2 linked regions of the Oryctolagus cuniculus genome follow. The protein of the gene in region 2 purifies or fractionates together with the protein of the main gene of each other region. This does not show direct contact. Links are inferred from orthologs where the notes say so. Each region holds a gene or a part of one and is shown on either strand. Other genes may lie near its edges. The genes, in order: SIRT5 and GLS.

Region 1 (4,289 bases), on a different chromosome or scaffold from region 2:
GGCATAAAAACAGACATATCAATCAATGGAACAGGACAGAAAGCCCAGATATAAATGAACACATTTACATTGAGTGCATTTTTGACAAAGGTGACCAGAACACAAAATAGGGAAAAGACAGTCTTTTTAGTAACTGATGCTGGGGAAATTGGACACCCACACGCAGAAGAACAAAATTAGAACCTTATCTCCCACCATACACAAAGATCAACTCCAAACGGACAAGACACTTAAATATAAGACCTGAAGTTATAAAACCAGAAGAAACGTAAGAGAAAAGCTCCACAACGCTGGCCCAGGTTAGTCCCTGAGAAGCGCAGGCAACGAGAGTAAAATCATACAAATGGGACCGCATCAAATTAAAAAGCTCTGTGCAGCAAGGGGAACCATTAACAAAATGAAGAAAAAAACACATGGATGCAGAGACAGTACCTGCAAGTCACATGGCTGATAAGGGGCTAGCACAGGTATCTAAAACAGACCCAAACAATTCAACAGCAACAAAACAGCCTAATTTTTAAAATGGGCAAAGAAGCTGAATGGGAACTTCTCCAAAGAAGACACACGACTGGTTAGTAGATACGTGAAAAATGTGCACTATCTCTAATCATCAAAAAGGGCAAATGAAGCCACAGTGAACCGTCAGAAAGGTGTCAGCAAGGATATGGAGAAAAGGCAATGTTGGTGCAGTTAGTGGGCATGAAATTAGTGCAGCCATCATGAAAAATAGTGCAGAGGTTCCTGGAAGAACTAGAATGGGGCAGGCATTTGGCCTCGTGATTGACATCAGCTAAGAAGCCCACATGCCGTATCAGAGAACCTGGGTCCAATACCCAGCTCTGGCTCCCAATCCCAGCAGACTGCCAATGCGGACTGTGGGAAGCAGGAGGTGATGGATCAAGTAGCTGGTTGTTTTTTTGTTTTGTTTTGTTTTGTTTTGTTTTAAGATTTATTTATTTGAAAGGCAGGGTTACAGAGAGGCAGAGAGCGAGAGAGAGTACGAGAGAGAGAGAGAAAGAGGGAGAGATCTTTCATCCACTGGTTCACTCCCCAAATGGTCACAACAGCTGGAGCTATGCTGATTCGACCCCAGGAGCTAAAGATAGAACTACCAGTAACCTCACTTCAGGGCAAACATCCAGAGGAATAAAAATCAGTATGTCAAACAGAACTTGATGTCTATACTCATTTCAGCATTATTCACAATAGTCCAGATATGGGGACAACTTAAGTACCCATCAAAGGATGAAAGGATTTTAAAAAACATATATTATACACGGAAACAATGGAAAACTATGCAGCCTTTAATGAGAAGTTCTGCCACTTGCGACAACATGGGTGAACCTGGAGGACGTGGTCCTACATGAAATAAGGCAAATAAGGCAAATACTACATGACCTCACTTACAGGAAGAATATAAAAAGCAGAATAAACATTTAGCTGAGGCTGGAGAGAGAGGGGGAAAGGGGAGAGGCTGGGCAAAGGGCAGAATTTGAGATGGAGGACTTAGTGAACTTTTGCACAGAGTGATGACTACAGTTAATTTTTAATAACTATACACTTCTGGGGCCACTGTTGTGATATTGCGGGTTACGCCGCTGCCTGGGACACTGGCACCCATATGGCTGCTGGTTCAAGTCCTGGCTGCCCCACTTCTGATCCAGCTCCCTGCTGATGCGCCTGGGAAAGCAGAGGAAGGTGGCCCAAGTGCTTGGGACCCCTCACCCACATGGGAGACAGCGAAGAAGCTCCTGGCTCCTGGCCCAGCTCTGGCTGTTGCGGCCATTTGGGGAGTGGACCAACAGATGGAAGACCTCTCTCTCTGTAACTCTGCCTCTCAAATAATTTTTTTTTTAAATTATACATTTCAACATTGCTAAAAGGGATTTTAAATGTTCTCATCACAGAAAATAGGCTGTAATTAGATGAATGGATCTATCCCAATGTACACGTACACCAAAACCTCACATTGTGCCCCTAAATATAGACAATTAGAAACGAAATTTGTTTTGAAACATTTAAGTGAAGACAGAAAAAAAACGACTCGGTAGCGTATTGCAAAGGGGCTACGAACACGTCCACGGGTGTCCCCGACTGAACGAACCCAAGCCGGAACACAGACGTCCTCGGGCGTCTACACTGGCAGAATCCGCTCTCGCCAAGGTCACCTCCGCGGCGCTCAACCCCACTTCCTTCCCCAGGAGGTCACGCCCGACCTCGGCCCCGGGCCATCGCGGCCCCGACAGCCGCGTCCAGCCGCCGCCCGGCGCCGCGGGCCCGAGGACTCGGCGCTGACCGCTCGCTTCCGCAGGCGCCGCCGCCGCCGGGCTGGGCCGCAACGCGCGCTCCTCCGCGGCCCGGCGCCCTTCCTCAAACGGAGGCGCCCCCTCCGTCCACCCGCTCCGGCCCCGCGTCTCCGCCCTGAGACCCCGGCCCCTGCCCGGGACCCTCCCCGCGGCCTTCGAGGCTCCCTCACGCAGTCACCTGGGTCCCCACCGCGCTGCGCACTCGGCCACTCTCGGGCCCGCCGCCCGCATCGCCCCCCGCGCGAGGCCCCCAGTCCCCTCGTCGCCAGCCCAGCCGCGTCCCGCGCCCCGAAGCCCCACACCACACGCCCCCGACGCCCCCCAGCCGCCGCGGCGGGCCGGGGCCACGCAGCCGCCTCAGGGCCACGCATGCGCGGCGCAGGCGCGCGCCACCGCCGCCGAGCCGCCCGCGGCGCGAGGACGCAAGGTCGCGTCCCGCGGGACAGCTGGCTCGGCCGGACCCCACCCCGGGCCGGGGCGGTCGCCCGTGGCCGCGGGGTCCCCGCGCAGCGCGGGCGGAGACGCACCTGCGGGAGGCGGGCAGGGCGGGCGAGGTGTGGCGCGGCGCTGGCAGCGGGAGGCCGCGGGGCGGAGCGGCGGGGCGCCCTGCCCCGGCTGCGGCGCCCCCTGCTGGCCGCCCCGACCCCGCCGGGCTCCCGGCGAGAAGGGGGCGGTCCCCAGGCCTGCCCGCGGCGGAGCGTGGCTTTGTCTTCCTTCCCTTGGGGATCTGCGGGGCGGGGCGCGCGTGAGCTCCGAGGTTCCCCGCACGCCCGCAGCAGGCGGCTCGCACCGCTGAAGGAGTGAGCGTCCCGCGTGCGGGGTGCGTGGGTGCCCAGGCTACCCACCGCGGCGGCTAGGATGCGCTCACATCTGCCGTCTGTCCTTTTCTCCCGCAGCACCGCGTTTGCGGAGGTAGGGGGCAGTGGTCAGCGATCTTGGGGCAAAAAAATGGCACTTTAAACATGTTTTTTTCCGGGCTGGGGTTGTGGCGGGGTGAGCTAAGCTGCCGCCTGCCGGCGCTGGCATCCCAAACGGGAGCTGGTTGGAGTCCCGGCTGCTCTGCTTCTGATCCAGCTCCCTGCTAATGCACCTGGGAAAGCGGAAGATGGCCCAGTGCTTGGACTCCTGCATCCCCCTGGGGAGACCTGGATGGAGTTCCTGGCTCCTGGCTCTGGACTGGCCCAGCTCTGGCCGTTGCAGCCATTTGGGGAGTGAACCAGCAGATAGAGGATCTCTCTCTCTCTCTCTCTCTCTCTCTCTCTCTCTCTAACTCTGCCTCTCAAGTGAATAAATAAATCTTTAAAAACGGAAAGAGACAGAAATGTATATGACCTTCGCCAAAACAAAAAAAAAACTTTTAAAATAAATAAAATTTTAAAATCTCTGTCCTTGCAAGATGGTAAGTTCCCTGAAAGTGGCCTCCGTGTGTGTGTGTGTGTGAGTGTGTCTTCCTGTGATCGTCCAAGCACATCAGGGTCCCTAATGCTGTGTTCAATTAGTAAATACGCATTCCATGCCCAGACTCGAAGGACAGAGGCTTGGCTACCCGTAACAGAATTTAAAGGCAAAGCCCCCTGTCTCCCCCCACCCCTCCCATTTTTTGGTTGTGAATCTGTCTACAACAGCACATGACCAAAACAACAACAGCAAATGAGCAAAGGGGCACCTGTGAGGATATTTGGAAAAGTTCATGGAAAATGGGATTAAAAATTAAATTTAGAGGCAGGCGTTTGGCGCGGTGATTAAAGATGCCCACGTCCCGTATGGAAGCTCCTGGGTTCAAGTCCTGGCTCTGCTCCCTGTTCCAGCTGCCTGTTAATGCAAAACCTTGGGGGGCTGGGGGGCAGCAGGTAGTGGCTCCGGTAGTTGGATCCCTGCCACTCACCTGGGAATGAATTCCTGGCTTTGGCCTGGCTCAGCCCCAGCCACTCTGGGTATTCAGGGAGTGAACCAGTAGGTGGGAGCCCTGTGTTTCTCTGCCTC
Region 2 (3,770 bases):
TGGGAGTGTTGTTCCACCTAAACAGCACGGACAGAGTCGTTAGGTAAATCTCTGTACGAAAACAATTTTCCACCATTTCTAGGTCTTCAAAGCAGTTCAAATGTCCATTCGAATGTAGCCACCTTAGCAGTTACTACAAGTAAAAAGTAATAGTCCAAATGCGGGAAGGAATCTGATTCAACAAGCGGCTTGGAGACACGCTGGGACGTGAGAGGAGAAGGAAAGGAGCTTGCTAGTGTGGCCCAGTGCCAGGGAAGGCCTGGTCCTGGCACATCCGGGAGACGCCTAGCGTTCCCAAATGTAACTTCATGAAGAGCCCAGAGCAGCAACGGAAATGCAGGTGGATAATATCCAGCAGCCTAGCCTTAGACACACAATTTGTGTTCTGTCAACTCGAAACCACAGGGCATCTGAGAAGCAGGATTGGCTCCACAAGGGACCCTTTGCTTTCTCTGGTAAGGACGGGGAACAGTGGGCTCCTGCGACCACTGTGTGGCCAGGGGGAGAACTCCTGTGCTTTCCCGTCCTAAGTGTGCTGCTGGGGCCGTGCTGTGTAGAGCGCTGGAGATGAAGACTTGAACTGAAGAAGTGCCAGCAGCGATTAGTCAGCAAAGCCCTTAGCAACAGCAGCCATCCCTGTAAAACTCAGAGCCCAGCAGATGACGGATCCCGTGAGGCCGGTCTTCTCCCCACGTCCCTCCCCTCCCCTCCCGCCCTGTACGTGCAGCTCTGCCTCACACCCACTCTCTCTGCCTCCCTGCTGCTCTCCCTCCCTTTCCTGCTTAGCATCTCCTGAACCTTCTGCCCTTTTAAGGGGGTCATCGAATGGAACGAATCAGTTTTAAAAAGGCATCTTTAGCATTTTTGGATACAGTTTGGTAACCTGTTCTTAATTTTTCAAATCAGGTAAGTAACACGTTACACATATCTATGTGTTACTCCAAAAACACCCCAGCTAATTAAGTGGCCTTTTGGGCATTCATTAGTTTGGGGACATGGGGGCTGAAGGAATCCACAGTTTCTCCACAGCATGTGATCATCTGTCTTTGGGGAAAAATTGAATGCTGAGTGCAAGTTACTTCTTTCAAAAGTCTTCCATGAAATAATGAAAATGCCAACTTGAAGAAGAATACACTAAATGTGCGCTACTATGTTATACTTCTAGGTGACTAAGATTCTATGAAATACTCCTCCAAAAAATTACCTTAGGTCTTTAGTTTCCGTGTTGGAATAGTTGACTATCTAGTTACCAAATTAGTTCCTTAAGCAACTCTGCCTGTCAGCTGCATCTACTTCCACATGCCTACAGGCTAATTTATGGCCAAAAAAAAAAAAAAAATCAGATACACAAAGCACAGTAAACATTTCCAGCATGTGTCCCGCAGTGTTTAGCTGGGATTATAAACAGGGTTGGGGCAGGGCAGTGGGAGGGGCTCTGCAGTTTCTTGCTGTAGAAAGAGCTGGGCTGGGCATTACATTTGGGGCTAAGAGGCCGGACTGTGACTCTGACATGAGGTTTTTTAGAATACTGCAATAAAAAGCCACTTTAATCACAGAGTTTTAAAACAGCTACAGAAAGAGCTACATAACCAAGAAGTTACCACTTAAAAAATTGCCAGCAACTCTCAGACACGTAACTTTCCTGCTGAACCAAAAGACGAAAGCCCTGATTCAAAAATAGTTCAAGCTATTTAGTACTCAGAGAGAGGAACCAACTTGCTCCAAACTTCGTACAGCTCCCAGGTCTCAGATACCAAAAGCAAACGCAAACTTTTTTCCTTTCTTCTAAGCTCTAATTTCATTCAGTGACTCGTCCACTCCAGTTTACACTGTCCAAATACGTGAGTACAGAGTTCGTTGTACACCTCTACACTTCAGCTACAGTCTGCCCCGTGCCTTGGCCCCCTGAAGACCTCATTTGTCACAGGGTGAGCCAGTATCAGTATCACCAGGAGGGAAAGGAACAGACAACACTCCTTCACACCCACCCCCACCCTGAGATCAAATTTCTCCTTTTGTGCCTTCCAATCTCCTGTCTTTCCCAAAGCACCGATTACAATTCCGCTTCCACAAAGCCTTTACAAACATTCTACTCAAATACAGGAATTTGAACAAATTCCAATATATTCATTTTAGCATTCTCTAACAGCAGTTCCCTTACATATTTTGTATATGCTCTTCTAAATATTTACCTCGTCTACCTTGTGTACCTAAGAGCCCTGTGTGGACAAAATTCCCATTTTACTTTTTCAAACACAAAGAACCCTTTTCTTTTACAAAATATGAAGGCCAGTCAAACCAACTTGAAAATTTCCAAATAAGATAACATTCTTACTAAGAAATAGGATATGGGAGACAGAATCTATGCAGCAGAACAAGGTTTTGCTTGTTGACTTCATAACAGGTTCACGAATGTCTTAGAGTATTTAAGTACACCATAACAATATCACAGCTCTGTAGAATGACATACTGACTGGCCAATGATTTAAGAAGATAATGTGAGTTCTTACCTGTCCTTGGGGAAAGGGTTTACTTTGCAAGCTTCCAGCAAAAATTTAACAACTTCAACGTGACCTATATCCCATCCCACCCCGAAGAAAAGGGCAGATTTTAGTATTGAGTAGAAATTAAACCTGAAAAAAAGAAATAGGATGTGTGGTTCACATATTACCCTCTGCAGCAGCTACGTGGAGTGCTGTTCTAGAATCGTAGTCCCGCTGTTCCATGTCCATGGCTGACAAAGCAAATCTGAAAATTTGTAAGCATGGCTATTCATCAGTACATAACATTTAATTCACACTTGCAACATTTACCCCATAGGTTAAAGCTAAGAGTCTCTCAGATGTCATTCTTCACCAGGCTCATTAGTGGTAATGAGAGAACTGTTCAACCACTACACAGGTGTCCTGGGTAAATACCATTTCCCGACTTGTCCTTACCCAAGCACTTTGGGGGGAAAGATGAAATGTTAGCCATCTTTCACCGAACTACACTTCATTCATATTATTATTCAAAACTCAAGAATAATGGTACAACTATGCCAAAATTTATGTCTCAGAAGGGCAAGAAATTAATACCTGTAGTATACTTCTGTGTGTTCACTAGGACTCCCATTCTTTAACATTTGATAGGCTATGGTTTACACGTAAGATTCAGGCTTTTTATGAAGGGTAGAAATTAACCATAGACATTTTTTCACTTGAAAGTTTGATCAGCTATAGGGCAGGCGTTTGTGCAATGGTTAAGATCCCACTCGAGGTGCCCACATCCAAAATTAGGGTGCTAGGGTTAGTCCCAGCTCTGCTTTCAACGCCAGCTTCCGGCTCATGTGCACCCTGAGGGGCAGAAAATGAGATTCGGGTACTTGGGAACCTGCCACCCTTGTGGGAGACAGTTAAGTTCCTAGCTCCCAGCTTTGGCCGACCCAGCTCAACTGCTGCAGGCATGTGGGGGGTGAAGCAGCAGATGGAAAAGGCGGCACACATGCACACTCTTGCTTGCTCTCTGAAAAATAAGCCAGCTGCAGCCTTACTGTACAAGAGACCTTAGACTGGTATACAGCTTACTGTGGTACACCTTACTGTGGTATACAGCCTTTCCGATCCTGGTGATCCAGAGGACATTGAACACTCCTATGTGGGGAGCAACTCGGACTAGACTAAGTTACTGGAATTAAGACTTATTCTATGCATCTGCTCTCCCACAATATGGCGCTGGGAGAGGAGTAAACAGCTTCTGCACAGCTGCCTCTCACCAACTTGACAAGCTGC

The links.
Region 1: the proteins of GLS (region 2) and SIRT5 purify together in Homo sapiens (affinity purification with western blotting; 3 studies listed by BioGRID and IntAct, with this or other methods). This does not show direct contact. The link is inferred for Oryctolagus cuniculus from reciprocal best matches to the Homo sapiens genes GLS and SIRT5.

Annotation. Positions count from the first base shown.
Region 1 is NC_091436.1:157,060,558-157,064,846, forward strand, and holds the start of SIRT5 (NAD-dependent protein deacylase sirtuin-5, mitochondrial), read right to left. Parts: upstream 2,974-4,289; 5' UTR 2,834-2,973; intron 2,820-2,833; exon of another isoform or gene 2,485-2,819; intron 2,281-2,484; exon of another isoform or gene 2,105-2,280; intron 1-2,104. UniProt on the Homo sapiens protein: NAD-dependent lysine demalonylase, desuccinylase and deglutarylase that specifically removes malonyl, succinyl and glutaryl groups on target proteins.
Region 2 is NC_091434.1:49,345,910-49,349,679, forward strand, and holds part of GLS (glutaminase kidney isoform, mitochondrial), read right to left. Parts: intron 2,749-3,770; coding exon 2,672-2,748; intron 2,575-2,671; coding exon 2,511-2,574; intron 18-2,510; coding exon 1-17. UniProt on the Homo sapiens protein: Catalyzes the first reaction in the primary pathway for the renal catabolism of glutamine. Plays a role in maintaining acid-base homeostasis. Regulates the levels of the neurotransmitter glutamate, the main excitatory neurotransmitter in the brain.